4 linked regions of the Canis lupus familiaris genome follow. The main gene of each other region encodes a partner of the protein of the gene in region 4 in a complex. Links are inferred from orthologs where the notes say so. Each region holds a gene or a part of one and is shown on either strand. Other genes may lie near its edges.

Region 1 (4,200 bases), on a different chromosome or scaffold from region 4:
ATCTCAGTTTAAAAGTCCCCTCCAGGGGCACCTGGCTGGCTCAGTCGGCAGAGTGTGCAACTCTTGATCTTCACGTCATGAATTTGAGCCCCACACTGGGTGCAGAGATTACTTAAAAAAAAGGAAAAGAAAAGTCCCCTCCAAAAGAGGCTGTCCCTGATCAAGCTGAAGCTATTCCACACTTACTGAGCACCTACTGCATACCACAGCTACAGCAGATGCCAGGAATTATAGAAGCAAATGCAAGACAAAAAAACCTCTGTCTTCATGGAGTGGATACCCTGGTAAGTGCCACAGACAAGAAACAGGATAAATAATAAAGGACAGGGGAGAGTTGGGAGAGATTATCATTTTATTTCTTATCTACTTTTTTTTTTAAGATTTTATTTATTTATTCATGAGAGACACAGGCAGAGGGAGAAGCAGGCTCCAGGCAGGGAGCCTAATGTGGGACTCGATCCCGGGACTCCAGGATCACAACCTGGGCCAAAGGTGGCACTAAACCGCTGAGCCACGCAGGCTGCCCTACTTATTTTTTTAAGTATGCTCTATGTCCAATGTGGTGCTTAAACTCTTGACCCTGAGATCAAGAGTACCATGCTCTAACGACTGAGCCAGCCAGGCATGCTGGGGGGGTATCATTTTATATAGTGGTAGGAGAGATTCGGGGATGGTCACTTCAAGGTGGTAACATTTGAATAAAGGCCTGAAAAAGGTAAGAGAAGGAGCCATGTGAAGATGCCATGTGAAGAGGATTCTAGCCAGAAAGAACAGCTAGTGCAAAGGCCCTGAGGTGGGACCATGTCAAGTATGCTAGACAGTAACAGGGAGGCCTCATAGCTGGAATAGAGAGATCAAGTCAGTGATCTCCATTGCTGTTACCCTCAGAAATCACCTTTATTATCTGCTTACCAGCTACCATCTGTGCCTCCTGACTTGGTCACCAAACCCTAGAGGGCAGGGCCCTTGTCTGTCTGTCCTAATACTGCATTGTGGGCTCCATATTCCAGTCCTGGACTTCAGCCATCTCCTCAACAAGGTCTCCCTTGTTATGTTCCCTATCTCAAGCGTATTTATCCTTGTTATTCTCTCAAAACGGCCTGTTCTTGGCCGCAGAGTACTGGATACAATGCCAACTTTTATTTCCTTCTGGTATTTCAATCTCACTCTCTTCCACTTGACACTGAACTTTCCAGATTTGTTACTGGGATCAAAAAATTAAATGTTGAGATCTATGTTTCAAAACGTGACTATCTGCTTCACAGGAGCAGACTATAAAGGACAGGCCTCAAAGTGGGAGGAGGATGGGGGGGAATCCAGGAGAGAAGAGTACCCTGGGCTAGGACAGAGGCTGCAGACAGGGGAACAGATATAGATTTGTTCTGGATTCCGAGCCTTTAAGATACAGAGAGATAAATCAGGTCACCTGGGTGGCTCAGTGGTTGAGTGTCTGCCTTTGGCTCAGGTTGTGATCCAAGGGTCCTGGGATCGAGTCCTACATCAGGCTTCTCACAGGAAGCCTGCTTCTCCCTCTGCCTATGTTTCTCCCTCTCTCTCTCTGTGTCTCTCATGAATAAATAAATGAAATCCTAAAAAAAAAAAAAAAAAAAAAAGATACAGAGGTAAATTAAAAGAGAGTGGAGCTGGGGGCTCCTCCTTGATCCTATATGGGGCACACATTTTGGGTAGGAAAAATAGTAGAAAGTCAAAAGACAGCAATATATATTCCTGAGATAACTCAGTTATGTCTGACTCTGAATCACCCACTGTACTTATATACTCCCATTTTATCCTGAAGTGATCAAATGTGGACAATCCAACAGCTCACCTGTGCAACTTTCACACCCTGGTCCAAGGCATACTGCACCAGCCCAGTGGCTGTATCATGGGATAGGGAGTTCAGGTTGTACTTGACCCTGCAATGGGAGACAAAACCTAGTCAGTTCCGGTCCCTACACCGATCCCTTCCAGGCCACGCTGGCTGCCCCTCCACCCGGCCCCTCCCAGAGGCCCCTCACCGCCCAAGCATGCTCGTAGAGATGAGGTTTGGAGACAGCACGTCCAATGCCCAGCCCACAAAGTCCCTGTCCTTCTCCATTTTCACAAAGAGCCTGTCCCGCTCGCTCTCCGATAGGGTCTTTGAGTCTGGGAGGAGGGTTGGGAGAGAAGGGGTGCGACTGGTTCTCCCAGCTGTTCTCCCCCTCCAGTTTGCACCCGCTCCTGCACACACCCAGGAACCACCTCCCCAGGGTCACACCTCGGGCTCACCTGCCACTTTCAGGGCTTCCAGATCTCCCAGGCGGGACAGGGGGCAATAACAGATGGCGTAGACCATGGGGCCTGGAGAAGCGAGTGTCCAACCAGTGAGCCCGTGAAAACCGCTATCCTTATTCCATCATCACCGCTTTTTTCGGTGCCATTACCACCATCACCCCCCTCCCCGGGTAGGGTACAATCCCGGCTTGCGTTCCAGTGCAACGTGCATTCCCCTAATCACGCCCCTCCCCCAGCCCAGCCCTGGGGGCGCACCCAGCACCGGGCCCCGGCCCGCTTCATCGACGCCCAGGACGCAGGGCTCCTGGCGGCACACCGCGGGCACAGGCGAGCTCAGGCGACAGCGGCCCGTGTTGTCTCTGTCCAGCTCGCTGAAATCCATGCCGTCTCTGCCGCCGCCACCGACCGCAAGAACCAGGTCTACAGGAGCGGTTCTAGGCGCGCGTTTTCCGCCGGCCCCGAAGCGGCTCTGGCTCCCGACCAATCGGTGCCCGGGACACGCCCCCGACGCTCCGGCCACCGTTGACGTTTCCGCAGCCGCCACCGAAACTCCTGCCGCGCGGCTTCCTGGGAATTGTAGTTCCCAAGGCCGACCGCCGAGCTCCTTCGGGGGAACGGGGTGGGCGGGGTCGCCTTCCAGGCTCCGCCCCGGAGTCCCTGACGCCCCGCCCGTCGGGGCTGCTAGGAGATAGGGAAATAAAAGTGGGAAACTGACGCAGGCCTTGGAGGCCGAGGCCCAGCCAGGGCCTAGAAGGTCAAATATCACTATACTGCCAGACTACCGCCAGTGCCCACATCACTGGGTCCCGGTCCCCGATCTGGATGCTGGCTCTGGTCCCTGTCCCTGCCATTCCACACAGGCTAAGCCCTCCGGACCAGGTATTCCTACTTCCACTGGGCTCAGGCCTTCAGATTTGCTGTCCAGCTCCCTCTCTCGGTACCTCACCCAGACTCTCGCCCTCCCTTTCCCGGCTTCCTAACCTCTCTCTAACTGGGGCTAGGCCTCCTCCACCCACCCCCTCCCAACTGTGATCCCAGATCTCAATAGGCTTCTGCTGAGAGTCTGAGCCCACAAGGCAGGGCCATTACCCCCAGTTGAGGGTTCATGTCCCCCAGTTCTCGAGTCTCAAAGGGGCTCACATCGTCACCCTATAGGTCCTTGACCCTCATCAGGCTCATGTCCCTTCCTCAGGGTCACAGTTCCTCCATCTCTGATCCCCCCCTCCCGGCCCATGACTAGCTTTCTTCCTTTCTCCCCGGGTATCAGTGGGGCTCACGGCTCCTGACTCAGCTCACCTTTCCCCACCATCTTTAAGCCTCATCCCTAAAGGCTCTCCTGCCCGCACCCCCCACGCCCCGCCTTTTCTCTCGCCTCATCCCAGGCCCTGAGGACTCCCAACCCCGGACTAGACCACCTGCCCTGGCCCCGCCTCCTCTGCGCTAGTCTCTCACCCGGGTTCAGGGCCTCCAGTCGCAATCCGTTGGTTTGCAGGATGAACAATCCCGTTGCCTGCAGGGCCGCACCTGCACCAGATTCTCGCGGTCCATGAACACCGGACCCGGCGCCGTGCCCAGGACCTCGCGGCTGCGCTCCTGCTTGCCCAGGTCGCAGAAACAGCGCCACTTCCCCCAGGGGCCAAGGATCGAGTCCTCCAAGTCTAGGGATAGAGGGCCAGGTAGGGGGGAACCTACCCCCGCCATGCCCTCCTCTAGGAAGAGAGGCAGATAAATACACTAACAACAACATCTCCTGTTTGCTGGGCTCTGCGTCTGTGCCAAGCACTCCACCATAGATGATCTAATTTAATTTTCCCATTATTCCCAGGTGGGGAAACTGAGACCTATAGAAAGCAAGCCACCCCTTGAGCTGATACATCTGGTGTGTTGCCCAGAGGAATTGCAAACTGACACTTCCCACCTGTGCCA
Region 2 (4,001 bases), on a different chromosome or scaffold from region 4:
CGCAGGAAATTACAACAGCATCTCCGATGTGACTCAGATCTCGGCATATACGTGCAAATTCTCCAGAAGGCATCTTTACCACACAGCTATATTCTTGTTCCTGTTAAAATGAAAAATTAGAGTTCACTTGCTGGAAACTAAATTTGGCATTCTCATTTTTCTGAAGCCTCAGCATTTAGACAAGAATTCAGAATTTAAGGTTTTCTGATTACTTTAAAATATCACTCATTGTGTATTTCCATAACATAATCTCTAACTCAAAAAATAAATGCAGATATAAAACAAGTATGGGGATCCCTGGGTGGCGCAGCAGTTTGGCGCCTGCCTTTGGCCCAGGGCGCGATCCTGGAGACCCGGGATCGAATCCCACATCAGGCTCCCGGTGCATGGAGCCTGCTTCTCCCTCTGCCTGTGTCTCTGCCTCTCTCTCTCTCTCTCTCTCTCTCTCTCTGTGACTATCATAAATAAATAAAAATTAAAAAAAAATTTTTAAAACAATATGTCATAAGAATAATCATACTAAGAAAACTAAAATTAAAGTTTAAATCTTTAATGATAAATGCACTATCCAGGAGAAAAGAGCCTCCCCCTAAATCCCCCTCCAGGGCTAAATCAAGAGGACATTAGGGTATGGCCTACAAATGATGATGCGTGTGCAAGCAGGCCCAACTGCTTACCAAAACAAAACAAGAAGATAAGATAGTAAGGATTTTAAACATCTCAACATTTCTTATGTTGATAAACCTCACCTGAATGAATTTCTGCTAACACAGCTTTATTTTTATTTTTAAGATTTTATTTATTTATTCATGAAAGACACAGAGACAGAGAGAGAGGCAGAGACACAAGAAGAGGGAGAAGCAAGCTCCATGCAGGGAGCCTCAATCCTGGGACTCCAGGATTATGCCCCTGGCGGAAGGCAGGTGCCAAACCGCTGAGCCACCCAGGGATCCCCTAACACTGCTTTAAAGTCTACTCTTAATACTCACTGGAATTCCAAGTTGTTCAACATCTAAATCCATTAACTTCATTTCATAGTCTGAAACTTTTTCTTGATCTACCAAAAGAAAGCAGATTGAAGAAAAGTATGTAAGTTTATAACTATGCCATTAATAAGCTTTACAATCATTAGGAACATTTTCTTAAGTTTTTCACAACTAAGAGAAATCTTTTACACTGCATTTAAATTTCCTCTAATATAATTTAGTAGAAGAGTATCACCTACTTGGAGCTTCAAATACTAGTGCCAAGGTGTCCGCATTATCTTCAGCCCTTAGTGTAATGATGTCTTCATTGCCAGCACATTTTAGTATTTTGGACATGCTAGAACACGGAAGACACAGGATTTAAAATTGCCACAACGTTCTCAGAATCGTTAAGATTTCTGACCCAATTAAAACAAGGAGTTACCATCTTTATTTACCAAGGTCGTCTGAGGAATTGGTGAGTGAGGTAAACTAATCCGGCCATTTTGTAACCCAATTTGGCAGTATTTATTCTTAAACAGGCACACAGCCTACCATGAGCAATTTCACTTCTAGATACAAATAAAAGAGCAGCATTTCACGCATTGCAAATTGCAAATCCCTTTGGTGCGCGAAGCAAATTATTGGGTCCTGACGGTCAAGAAAAATGAGCTAAGATACTTATTAATACACACTGCATGCAGTCGAGGTCAACTATTTCTCATAAGCCTCATATTTGAACATGTTTTTGGAAGGCGGGGTGGCTCAGTGGTTGAGCGCCTGCCTTTGGCTCACGTCGTGATCCCGGGGTCCTGGGATGGAGTCCCACATAGAGCTCCCTATGTGGAGCCTGAGGGAGCCTGCTTCTCCCTCTGCCTGCGTCTCTCACGAATAAATAAAATCTTTAAACATGTTCATGTACTAGACATGTAGTGATCAAAGAGTTGAAAGCCACTGCCCTGGAGAAATTTTAAGTCCAGGAACTTAGGGTGCTCACTGCAACTTCCTAATAATAAAGGACCAGAATCAACCGATGGTCCCTAGGTAGGGTGACGTAACTCGGGCACATTATAAAGCGGTTAAAGGCAGTCAAGCCAAAGGGTTCTCATCCAAGGCCGCCGGCACTTAGTGGCCAAGGTGCTGTGTAAGTCTTTTCCCGGCACCACGAAGAAGCCCGTCATTTTCCCGCCACCACCCGCTTTGTGACTTTGGCGCGGAAAACGCCGGTTCGCGCGGCTGCCAGCGCGGGCTTTCGGAACCGCGCGCTCCGCTAGATCCCGCCCCTGGGCGCCGCAGGCCAATGAGAAGGCGCGGGTCGCCCACGCCAGCCAATGAGGACCTAGCTCGCAGGCGCTCCCGCCAAGAGCCGGAGGTGGGGGTGCGAGAGAGCCCGGCCCTTGGCGACCCCAGGGGCTCACCTGGTGAGGTTCACACCCATGGCCAAGTTGCGGTCGCAGCGGTACGTGTCGAAGCCCTCGGAGCGCAGAGTGAGCTGCACCAGGGAGACGTGGGAGGAGTCCATGCTCTGCAGGTTTACGCCGCTCGAGCTGATGTCCCAGCAGGCCTCGTTGATGAGATCCTTAAGCGCCTCCAGCACCTTCTTCAGGATGGAGCCCTGGACCAGGCGCGCCTCGAACATGGTGGCAGAGTCACAACGACACAGCTGCAGGCGGAGACGAAGAGGAAGTTGTAGCCGGCTTGGCGTCACGGGGTACGAGCGAGCTGGCGAACGCAGCGGCGAGGGCCGGGGAGCCGGGACGATCACCGCCCGCCCGCTCCGCCTGCAACCGTTTAATAGCGCCGCGTCTGCTGGCGCGCGCGCTCCGCCTCTGCGCCGCGCGTGGCGCGTCACCACGTTGCCCCGCCCACTCCCTGGCGGACGGACTCCGGGGCCAATAGTGTCCTTGGCCTCCGCTCCAGCCCGTCCTCCCTGAACGTCCACTGAAGGGTCGGCCGCAGGGGCGGGGCAGGGGCGGGGCAGGAGCGGGGCGCCTCCGCCTCCCGCGGGACTGCCTTCTCCACCCCGCTCGCGACGCCGGGCGCTGAACAAGTCTGGGCTTGTGACGGCCAGACCCAGGTTGGGGTTCTTTGAGTTACAGCCTTGTGCTGCCTCCTCAACCTCCCGCTTCAGGACTAGAAAGGCTTTGGCCGTGAAAGTGAAAGGCAAATCCAGCCCACCGGGAGGAAGACGCCTGGCGGCCCGAGGAATACAGCTGTTTTAAAAGTGCATTTTATTTTTGCTATCGTAGAAGTGATGTGTTGATAAATGTTGCTAAGCTGACCACTGAAAGATTGCAATCTACAATATTTTCCTAAATACAGATATCAGCAATCTTGTTTTAAAAATCTAAGCTTATTTGCGTGAAAATTCTGATCTGCATATTAAAAACTTGTTACAGGGGGCACGTGGGTGGTTCAGTCAGTGGAGCCTCTGCCTTTGGCTCAGGTCATGACCCCAGGGTCCTGAGATCTAGATCCAAGGTTGGCTCCTGGCTCCGGGAGGAGTCTGCTTCTACCTCTCCTTCTCCCTCTGCCCCTCCCCAATATGTTTTCTCTCTCAAATAAATAAGATTTTAAATATTTTATTTACTCATGAGAGATACAGAGAGGCAGAGACGTAGGTAGAGGGAGAAGCAGGTTCCCTGCACAGAGCCTGATGCAGGACTCAATCCCAGGACCCCGGGATCAGGCCCTGAGCCAAAGGCAGATGTTCAACCACTGAGCCACTCAGGTGTCCCCATTTGTAAATTTTTTTTTTTTTTTTTTTAAGATATTCGTGAGAGACACACAGAGACAGAGAGAGGCAGAGACACAGGCAGAGGGAGAAGCAGGCTCCATGCAGGGAGCCCGACGTGGGACTCGATCCCGGGACTCCAGGATCACACCCTGGGCTGAAGGCGGCGCTAAACCGCTGAGCCACCTAGGCGTCCCCTCCCCCCACCTTTTTTCCCCCACCCCCCCCCCTTTTTTTTTTTTTAAACAGGTTCTTTTTTTTAATTTTATTTATGTATTTATTTATTTATTTATGATAGGCAC
Region 3 (4,300 bases), on a different chromosome or scaffold from region 4:
CTCCTTGCTTCTTATCAACACCTAGTCAGGCCAGCCTGGTCCTGGAGCAGCCAATGCTCCCCAGGTCACAGCTAGGGGGACTGACTTGACTGCAAATCCAGACATCCTGAGGCCCAGACCACACGTGGGGGCTGCCTTCCCTTCTCACATACCCAGGAGATATGGTCTGGAATGATGAAAATCAGGCACTTGCCTTTCTTGTCATTTTCTCTGCACTTCCCTGGTTCCTGAGTTTTTCTCCAGGTGGATTATAGCTGTTCCTTTCAGTACCCTCCACAGCACAGAGATGAAGAGTGAATGCTCATTAGCTCTCTGGGGAAACAGACACAGCAGACTAGCTACGTATGTCAGGTCACAGAACTACCACATGGCAAGGGTGAGATGGGAACCAGGCAGTTTACTCCTGTAACCATATTCTGAAAGTTGCATGAAGGTGTGATCGCTTACCCACCCCTTCTTGCTGCCTTGCTGTAGGCTATGAACTCTCCAAAGTGGAAGGGAAAACGGGGACCCCTGAGAAGCCCCTCTCAGACCTTGGCCTCCTATCCTACCGAAGCTACTGGTCCCAGACCATCCTGGAGATCCTGATGGGGCTGAAGTCAGAGAGCGGGGAGAGGCCACAGATCACCATCAAGTGAGCCTGGCCCTACCTCTGACCCTGGGGGTGCATGGCATGGCCCATCCTCATTCCTGGGGCTCCTGGGGGCTTGGGGCAGAGAGGAAGGCCTCCAGAGGACCTGATCCTTGTCCTCCCACAGCGAGATCAGTGAAATCACCAGCATCAAGAAGGAAGATGTCATTTCTACTCTACAGTACCTCAATCTCATCAACTACTACAAGGTAGGGAGGCAGGCAGGGGGAGACGTGTGTGTAGGGCTGCAGAGTGTGCACCCCACATGGGCTGACCCTTCCGGTCCTATCTCCCATCCAGGGCCAGTATATCCTCACACTGTCTGAGGACATCGTGGATGGGCATGAAAGAGCTATGCTCAAGCGGCTCCTTCGAATCGACTCCAAGTGTTTGCACTTCACTCCCAAGGACTGGAGCAAGAGGGGAAAATGGTGACCAGGCACTGTCTATAGCAGTGGCAACAAAGCAGAACTGGGGCTGACAGCACATCCCACCCCCACCAGGGCCCCCAAGAGGCACACCAAGGGAGGTGGGGCTGAGGACAGCTTCATAAGGAGAGGACAGGCCTGGTAGGGGCTAGCTGCCCAGCACCAAGGCGAGCTCAGGGCTCAGGTCAACTCCAAGGTCAACTGGCTGCAGGTCTGGGCCTGCTATGAAGCAGGGACTGGACGGAGCCAAGCAGCTATGTACAGTGAGATGGGGGGTGGGTGCACTCTGTACAGAGGGCTAGTGGCTGTAAAAATTTCTTTTGTAAGGAGTTGGGAGGAGGGGTGGGTACTGGCAGCAAAATTCTGGCCTCTTGCCCTCACTGCTCCTTGGCAATAAATCATTTCTATAGACTGAGCCATGAAAGTTTCTTGTGGGAGAAGGGGTAGTGCCAGCTTAGAAGACTCCAAGGTGCCCACAAACTCGCAGGTGCTGTGAAGAGCTTGTTTATTGGGGTGATGGAATCAGTGGTTCCAAAATGAAGAGCTGGTTTATTGGGGTGAAGGAACCAGTGGCTTTCAATTTCAAGTTCCGGCTCTCAGTCTTCAGGCACCTGTGCGTGAATCTGCAACAGGAGTCACCTCTACTATTGGGTTTTTGACACACACTGGGTGGCCCACATACTCTGGGAGTGACCCAGCTACTCAGAATGACAACCCCTTCTAGACCAGTCAGAGGTAGGGAAGCGCCCCTGCCCCTGACCAGTCTAATCCAGTCAGACCCAGGCTCCTTGTACCCCATTGTACTCCCCGGCCCTGAAGCCCCAAGTCCACTCGGACAAGATTCTGGACAGTCCAGGGAATACCCTTGAAGGCACAAGGGAATGGATGGGGCCTGAAGAGTGAGGTCCCATCCCCCTACTCACCGCTGCGGCCAGACTGGGCCAGGTTAGGGCCCCGCGCACTTTGGCGTCCGGACCAGGAATGGTCTCCAGACCCCATAGCGTGAAGCGGCTGAAACTGGCGATGGCTCCGATAAACTGGTCCTGAGGAAGGGGCCCGGCTCAGCATGAGGGCCACCGCTGCCGCCCGCACCACTCTCCAGCCCTGCCCCTCCACCCCCGTGCTCACGAAGTCCCGCTCCAGCGCCTCGCGGGGTTCTGCCCGCTCCTGCTCCTCTCGCTCGTCACCCTCCGAGAAGTCCTTCTCCATCGACACCTCTCCCTGCTCCTCCATCGCCATCACGTATCCCACGAGGCCAGGAGGCACCACCACCTCCTCGCCTCGTAGTTTGCGGCCCCGAAACGACACTTCGAGTCCTGCAGAAGGCAGGCTCGGGACCTCGGTACGGGCTTGATTCAGGGCTTGCGGGGCAAGCCCCCCGGGGCCCTCCCGCCACCTCCGTTGGACCACGATCCCCAGGAGCCCTCGCGCCACTCCTCGCCGAGGAGAACGTGGCGTGGGCGCGGGGGTTGCCGGGAGTCGTAGTCCGGCGGTGAGCACTCACCGTCGGGACCCTGTCGAATGGCTGGGGTGAAGAAGCGGTCCACGGGGGCGGGCCGGTTAACTAGAACCTCGCAAGGCAGAAGATGCAGCGTGGCGCGAGCGGCGTCGCGCAGCGTGCCGGGGCGCAAGTGGACGCGGCACTTCTCGACTGCTGCCTCCTCGCTACTCTCCATTCTCCGCCGCCGATTCCGCTGCTCGGTGGCCAAGGCCAAAGCTGGCGCGTAAAGCGCGCGGAGCCTGTCGGGAGTCCGGGGACGCTCAGCTCAGAGCCTCCTGGGAAGCGTAGTCCTTCCTTGAGGCTCCTCTGAGCCTCTGCGAGCCCTGCCTCGATGTGTTCAAATCCCAGTCTTTTTTTCTTGAAAATGATTTTCAGGAGTACATTCTTATGGTAAAAAATCGAAACTATTCCGAAAAGTACTCTTTTTATGTTATTGGTAGGGAGAGTTGCTTGTTTGTTTTACTGGGGACATCACTTCCTCAAATGCGTTGAAGTTATTTTATCCGAGTTTGTGATTTGTTCTCCAAACTGACTTATTTTTTTTTGTAGTAGATTAATCAATCTTTTCTTCTTACGTCTTTTTTGTTTACGCAATACTATTTCTTTTTTGGTTTCTTAACTCTTTCCTAATGTTTATTTGTTCAGATACCCAAATTAAATATGTTTTGTCAAGTTCTTTCGTAAAACAAGAACAGACATAACTGGCAATTAAGTTTAAAATTGCATTTAATTTATAGATTTGAGAAAGTTAAACACACCTCCAGACATCCAGGTACTGGCCGTGGTGTTCTGTTAAACATGAACAATTTCACAGAGTATCAACATTGGACAAAGTCACTGCGTGATGTGAGGGATCAAGACAAAAACAAGATCACTCTATAGTCATGTGATCACCAACAAAGAGAGGAACATTGTCCAAACCACAAGAATGATGAAACATCGACCATGTTGGGAAATATAAGTGAACTTTACCAATTACAGCTTTAGCTTTTGTCTGGGTAAGATCTGTTAACATATCCCATCCTAGAAATACTTCCCCTTCTTGACAGTATCCAATCCAGAGAAAAACTCTGGCTTTCTTAAACCCTCCCCCAAATCACTTAGCGCAAGCCAAATCCTGTAAATCCTTTCTGAACACCATCTTACTGAGATGTCCAACAGTACAAGAGTAATAAACACGTCTGTTCAACTATAGATGTTTCCTGGTAGTCTTTGGCTGGAGGGTACTAACAGATTAGAGCGTCTTGCTGTAGTTTTCTATCAAGAATAAGATATATAATACCATTTGTTCTTTTTTTTTCTTTAATACCATTTATTCTTTTTTTAAAGATTATTTATTTATTTATTAATGAGAGAGAGAGAGAGAGAGGCAGAGACACAGGCAGAGGGAGAAGCAGGCTCCATGCAGGGAGCCCAACCTGGGACTTGATCACAGGTCTCCAGGATCAAGCCCTGGGCTGAAGGCAGCGCTAAACCACTGAGCCACCCTTATTCTTATCTCCTTTAATGTCTGCCTGTGCAACTCTAAAGTTGTTTTTTTGTTGTATATAATAGTTATGTATTTTATTTTTTTATTTTTATTTTTTTTTAAATTTTTATTTATTTATGATAGTCACAGAGAGAGAGAGAGAGAGAGAGAGAGAGAGAGGCAGAGACACAGGCAGAGGGAGAAGCAGGCTCCATGCACCGGGACCCCGATGTGGGATTTGATCCCGGGTCTCCAGGATCGCGCCCTGGGCC
Region 4 (3,161 bases):
AACTGGCAAGTCCACATCTAAAAATCTATTCTAAGGGAGCAATTAAAGATGTGAACAAACATTTACTTATAATCTGATTCTTCAAACAGTGAACATTTGTAAGTAATGTAAATGTCCAAAATAGGGTCATGGTCATTAAATAATCAAATATCCAAATAATTAAAAATGACCAGCATTAAAAAAAAGCGTATTTATGAAGAATACTTTAGTAGCCTGGGAAGATGCTCCCAAAATAAAGTGTCAAGAAAGAAGATGATAAAATTAGTATTACGATTCCTTAAAAAATTATTATTATAAGAACATGTGCCATATATGATCTCTGGGTAGTGTCAAGTTGGGAGATTACCACTTTAATTTTACGCCTTTCCCTATTTTCTACAACAAACATGTATTCATAAAACAGAAAATATTAAACAGAAGATTTACTGAAAACAAATGGCTTTTAGGAGGTAGTAGTCTCCCCGACAGCTGCTGATTGCTGTCAGTGCGCTGAAAACCATACTGCTATAGGCACCGTGTGGCAAAGCGGCATAAAGTAACAGGCACACACTCAAATATTGTCACATGTCAGTTTATTGAGCAAAAACCAGGATGCCAGCTAGAGGATAACTCTATTCACTTGATTACTTTTCATGATGTCAAACAAAACTCTGAAGGCCACAGGCCACAGAGTTACACAATGACTTTCCCACATTTTGTTCAGAAAGACAAAAATCAAATCCCAGGAAATGTCTGACTCTGAAAATTGCCTTGATTTTTTTTTTTTTTTCCTCCAAAAGGCAGTAATTAAGTCAGGAGGTACATTGGTGTGGGGGAAGGACAAAAAAGGAACATGTAAAAGGCAAATAATTTTGCTAGATTTCATTGTCAAAGTTTCAGATCTTTTCAATTTTTTTTTTATTTTTCGTAGCAAAAAAGGAATCAATACTTTTCATTCCACTCTTGTCAACTTTAGCCAAAGCCTTCTGAGCTGCAGTCATTTTGCTATTTTTCTGTTAAGGAAAATAAGAGAAAAATTGTTACAAATGTAACATTTATGAATCGTACATGCAAATCAGACAAGACCATGCATGTCTCAAGGTTCATGTATTTGTTGCTAACGTGTTTCATAAGGGAGCAATGATGATGATGATGATGATGATGATGATGATGATGATTTTTTTTTTTAAGTTCTGATTTCCATTCCGAGTTTAGACCCAAGACATAAAGTCTGGAGCAACAGGCAGGAGACAAACCTCTGCCCTCTGAGGGTGGAACGTTACGACCCGTGGTTGACTTTGGGGGGACGGCTCCGGAGGAAGGGCCTATTAGCCCAGTAGCGCCAACAAAGAGACTGGGAGCGACTGGGGGGGTCACAGCGTGTTGCGGCGTGATGACGGGTGCACAACGGGCGCCGCTGCGTTGCTCTCGGGGGCCCAGGGCAGCCACGGGGGCCTAGGACAGCTGCTGTATCCCAGACAACCCGTACCCGGGAGCATGGGGACCAGCAGGGCGACCGCCCCGGTCCTCTTCCAACAAAGGGAGACTTTTCAAAAGGCTGCCTTGGAGGAGCCCTGCCTTTTAAAGGCCGCTCCCCTGCCGGTCACTGCCTGGCTCCGTCCTGGGACCCACGTGCCAGAGGCTAAAGAGCAGCAGGGCCACACGGGGTGGGACTCGGCAAAGCCGAAGCCAAGCCCTCTGTCCCCCGAGCGCCGTGGGGCGAAGCCTCTGCCGGAGAACCTTCCAAGGGCACGGGGCATGGTCCCTGGCATCTTGCTTCTCATATTCGGCCCCATTTCAGGGGCTTGTTTTTTGCCTGGATGGGACAAAGTGACAGTCTCCTCGAGACGAGTTATCCCCCGAATTCAGCTGACACCCTGGCCCAACCTCTCAGTTCCTGGGACTGTGCCCAGGTAGACGGGACAAAAAGCAGCCGTCACAAGGGTGGGGGCAGAAACAATTCCATGGAGGAACTCAGGAACGGCCCTCTACGGAAGCCGTCCAGAATGCTCCCTATCTTGCCAAGTCTCAACTTGGATTACCCCCTGACGTGGCCTGCCCAGATACGTTACGCAGAGCCCCAAGAGTCAAACCGATGAACGTTAAATGCCAAGGAGCGGGTAACTGCTGTTAAAATTTAGGAGAAGGGGATCCCTGGGTGGCTCAGCCTTTTGGCACCTGCCTTCAGCCCAGGACATGATCCTGGAGACCCAGGATCGAGTCCCAGTCCCACGTCGGGCTCCCTGCATGGAGCCTGCTTCTCCCTCTGCCTGTGTCTCTGCCTCTCTCTTTGTGTCTCTCATGAATAAATGAATAAAATCTTTAAAAAATAATAAAAAAAATAAAATTTAGGAGGAAGTTAATTTATCTTAGGGCAGGCAAGGTCTTTCTAAGCATAAAAATAATGAGAAAATCACAAGGAAAAACATTTCCTACATTTAATCCTCAGAATAACTTACAACTGTTTAAAAAAAAATAGAATAAAAAGGCTAAAAGCCAATTAGGGAATTATTTGTACCCTGTATGTCATGAAGTGTTGTTAAATTCCTAATCTAGAATAGGCTCTTAAAAATCAACAAGAAAAACCCTAGTATTCCAATACGAAAAACAGGCACTGGACATGGACTGACAATTTGCAGAAATGCAAATGGACCACAATCATTTGGAAAAAACAACAACTAACTTTTCTCGTCAGAGAAATACAGCCTAATTAGAGAGTCAAAAATTTCAAGAATAAAGATAATATTCAGTGTTGTCAACAAAGCAAGATGAATGCTCAACAGCAATGATGGTTGGGAATACAAATTTCTACATTTTTGGAAAGCAGTTTATATACATATACACATACATATGTGCATATATATACAGTTTATATAACATGTATACACACACATACATAAACATATATTTACACACATATATAAACATGAGCTCCTTCCACATGATTTACATGTTTTATAGTCATGTATATGATTATATGACAAAATCATATGATTATATATAATAAATATATAAAACCACAATCCTATATATGTGCACACATATATTTATATATTGTCTCAAATCACAATCCTATATATGTACACACACACATATATTTATATATTATCTCAAAAATCATGGAAAGAGCTCATGTTTTCTTTTTTTTTCCTTTTTTTTTTTCCACAGAGCTCATGTTTTCT

What was found.
Region 1: the proteins of RNASEH2B (region 4) and RNASEH2A are in contact, whole or in part, in a crystal structure (PDB 3PUF), measured with the Homo sapiens proteins. The link is inferred for Canis lupus familiaris from reciprocal best matches to the Homo sapiens genes RNASEH2B and RNASEH2A. Residues at the interface, in NP_078846.2 of Homo sapiens: His16, Phe18, Lys39, Asn42, Gly48, Ala49, Ile50, Val63, Lys64, Val65, Phe66, Lys67, His70, Phe74, Val79, His86, Phe87, Val183, Tyr211, Gly214, Leu215, Asp218, Tyr219; in NP_006388.2 of Homo sapiens: Val227, Phe228, Ile253, Trp254, Glu255, Ser284, His285, Tyr287, Phe288, Arg291, Gly292, Leu293, Glu294, Ser295, Ala296, Thr297, Ser298, Leu299.
Region 2: the proteins of RNASEH2B (region 4) and PCNA are in contact, whole or in part, in a crystal structure (PDB 3P87), measured with the Homo sapiens proteins. The link is inferred for Canis lupus familiaris from reciprocal best matches to the Homo sapiens genes RNASEH2B and PCNA. Residues at the interface, in NP_078846.2 of Homo sapiens: Asp290, Ser292, Gly293, Met294, Lys295, Ser296, Ile297, Asp298, Phe300, Phe301; in NP_002583.1 of Homo sapiens: Met40, His44, Val45, Ser46, Leu47, Glu124, Leu126, Gly127, Ile128, Pro129, Phe207, Ala208, Asp232, Val233, Pro234, Tyr250, Leu251, Ala252, Pro253, Lys254, Ile255, Glu256.
Region 3: the proteins of RNASEH2B (region 4) and RNASEH2C are in contact, whole or in part, in a crystal structure (PDB 3PUF), measured with the Homo sapiens proteins. The link is inferred for Canis lupus familiaris from reciprocal best matches to the Homo sapiens genes RNASEH2B and RNASEH2C. Residues at the interface, in NP_078846.2 of Homo sapiens: Arg14, Gln15, His16, Val17, Phe18, Leu19, Val20, Ser21, Glu22, Leu24, Leu35, Met36, Phe37, Val38, Lys39, Leu52, Glu62, Lys64, Phe66, Glu68, His70, His71, Ser72, Trp73, Phe74, Ile75, Asn76, Gln77, Ser78, Val79; in NP_115569.2 of Homo sapiens: Ile9, His12, Arg13, Val14, His15, Leu16, Ser18, Ala27, Thr28, Leu29, His30, Leu31, Leu32, Pro33, Cys34, Glu35, Val36, Ala37, Val38, Asp39, Gly40, Pro41, Ala42, Pro43, Val44, Gly45, Phe48, Phe63, Val75, Pro77.

What each region holds. Positions count from the first base shown.
Region 1 is NC_049241.1:49,746,568-49,750,767, forward strand, and holds the start of RNASEH2A (ribonuclease H2 subunit A), read right to left. Parts: upstream 2,805-4,200; 5' UTR 2,657-2,804; coding exon 2,530-2,656; intron 2,341-2,529; coding exon 2,269-2,340; intron 2,146-2,268; coding exon 2,019-2,145; intron 1,917-2,018; coding exon 1,829-1,916; intron 1-1,828. Other genes in the region: THSD8 (thrombospondin type-1 domain-containing protein 8), read right to left, coding at 3,733-3,932. UniProt on the Homo sapiens protein: Catalytic subunit of RNase HII, an endonuclease that specifically degrades the RNA of RNA:DNA hybrids. Participates in DNA replication, possibly by mediating the removal of lagging-strand Okazaki fragment RNA primers during DNA replication.
Region 2 is NC_049245.1:16,928,695-16,932,695, reverse strand, and holds the start of PCNA (proliferating cell nuclear antigen), read right to left. Parts: upstream 2,801-4,001; 5' UTR 2,605-2,800; coding exon 2,384-2,604; intron 1,324-2,383; coding exon 1,226-1,323; intron 1,058-1,225; coding exon 990-1,057; intron 101-989; coding exon 1-100. UniProt on the Homo sapiens protein: Auxiliary protein of DNA polymerase delta and epsilon, is involved in the control of eukaryotic DNA replication by increasing the polymerase's processibility during elongation of the leading strand.
Region 3 is NC_049239.1:51,998,513-52,002,812, reverse strand, and holds the start of RNASEH2C (ribonuclease H2 subunit C), read right to left. Parts: upstream 2,810-4,300; 5' UTR 2,736-2,809; coding exon 2,564-2,735; intron 2,376-2,563; coding exon 2,188-2,375; intron 2,103-2,187; coding exon 1,983-2,102; intron 1,683-1,982; coding exon of another isoform or gene 1,656-1,682; exon of another isoform or gene 1,548-1,655; intron 1,475-1,547; exon of another isoform or gene 1,067-1,474; coding exon of another isoform or gene 932-1,066; intron 841-931; coding exon of another isoform or gene 759-840; intron 635-758; coding exon of another isoform or gene 475-634; intron 313-474; coding exon 202-312; 3' UTR 194-201; exon of another isoform or gene 1-193. Other genes in the region: histone acetyltransferase KAT5, read left to right, coding at 475-634, 759-840, 932-1,066.
Region 4 is NC_049243.1:922,287-925,447, forward strand, and holds the end of RNASEH2B (ribonuclease H2 subunit B), read right to left. Parts: intron 993-3,161; coding exon 876-992; 3' UTR 556-875; downstream 1-555. UniProt on the Homo sapiens protein: Non catalytic subunit of RNase H2, an endonuclease that specifically degrades the RNA of RNA:DNA hybrids. Participates in DNA replication, possibly by mediating the removal of lagging-strand Okazaki fragment RNA primers during DNA replication.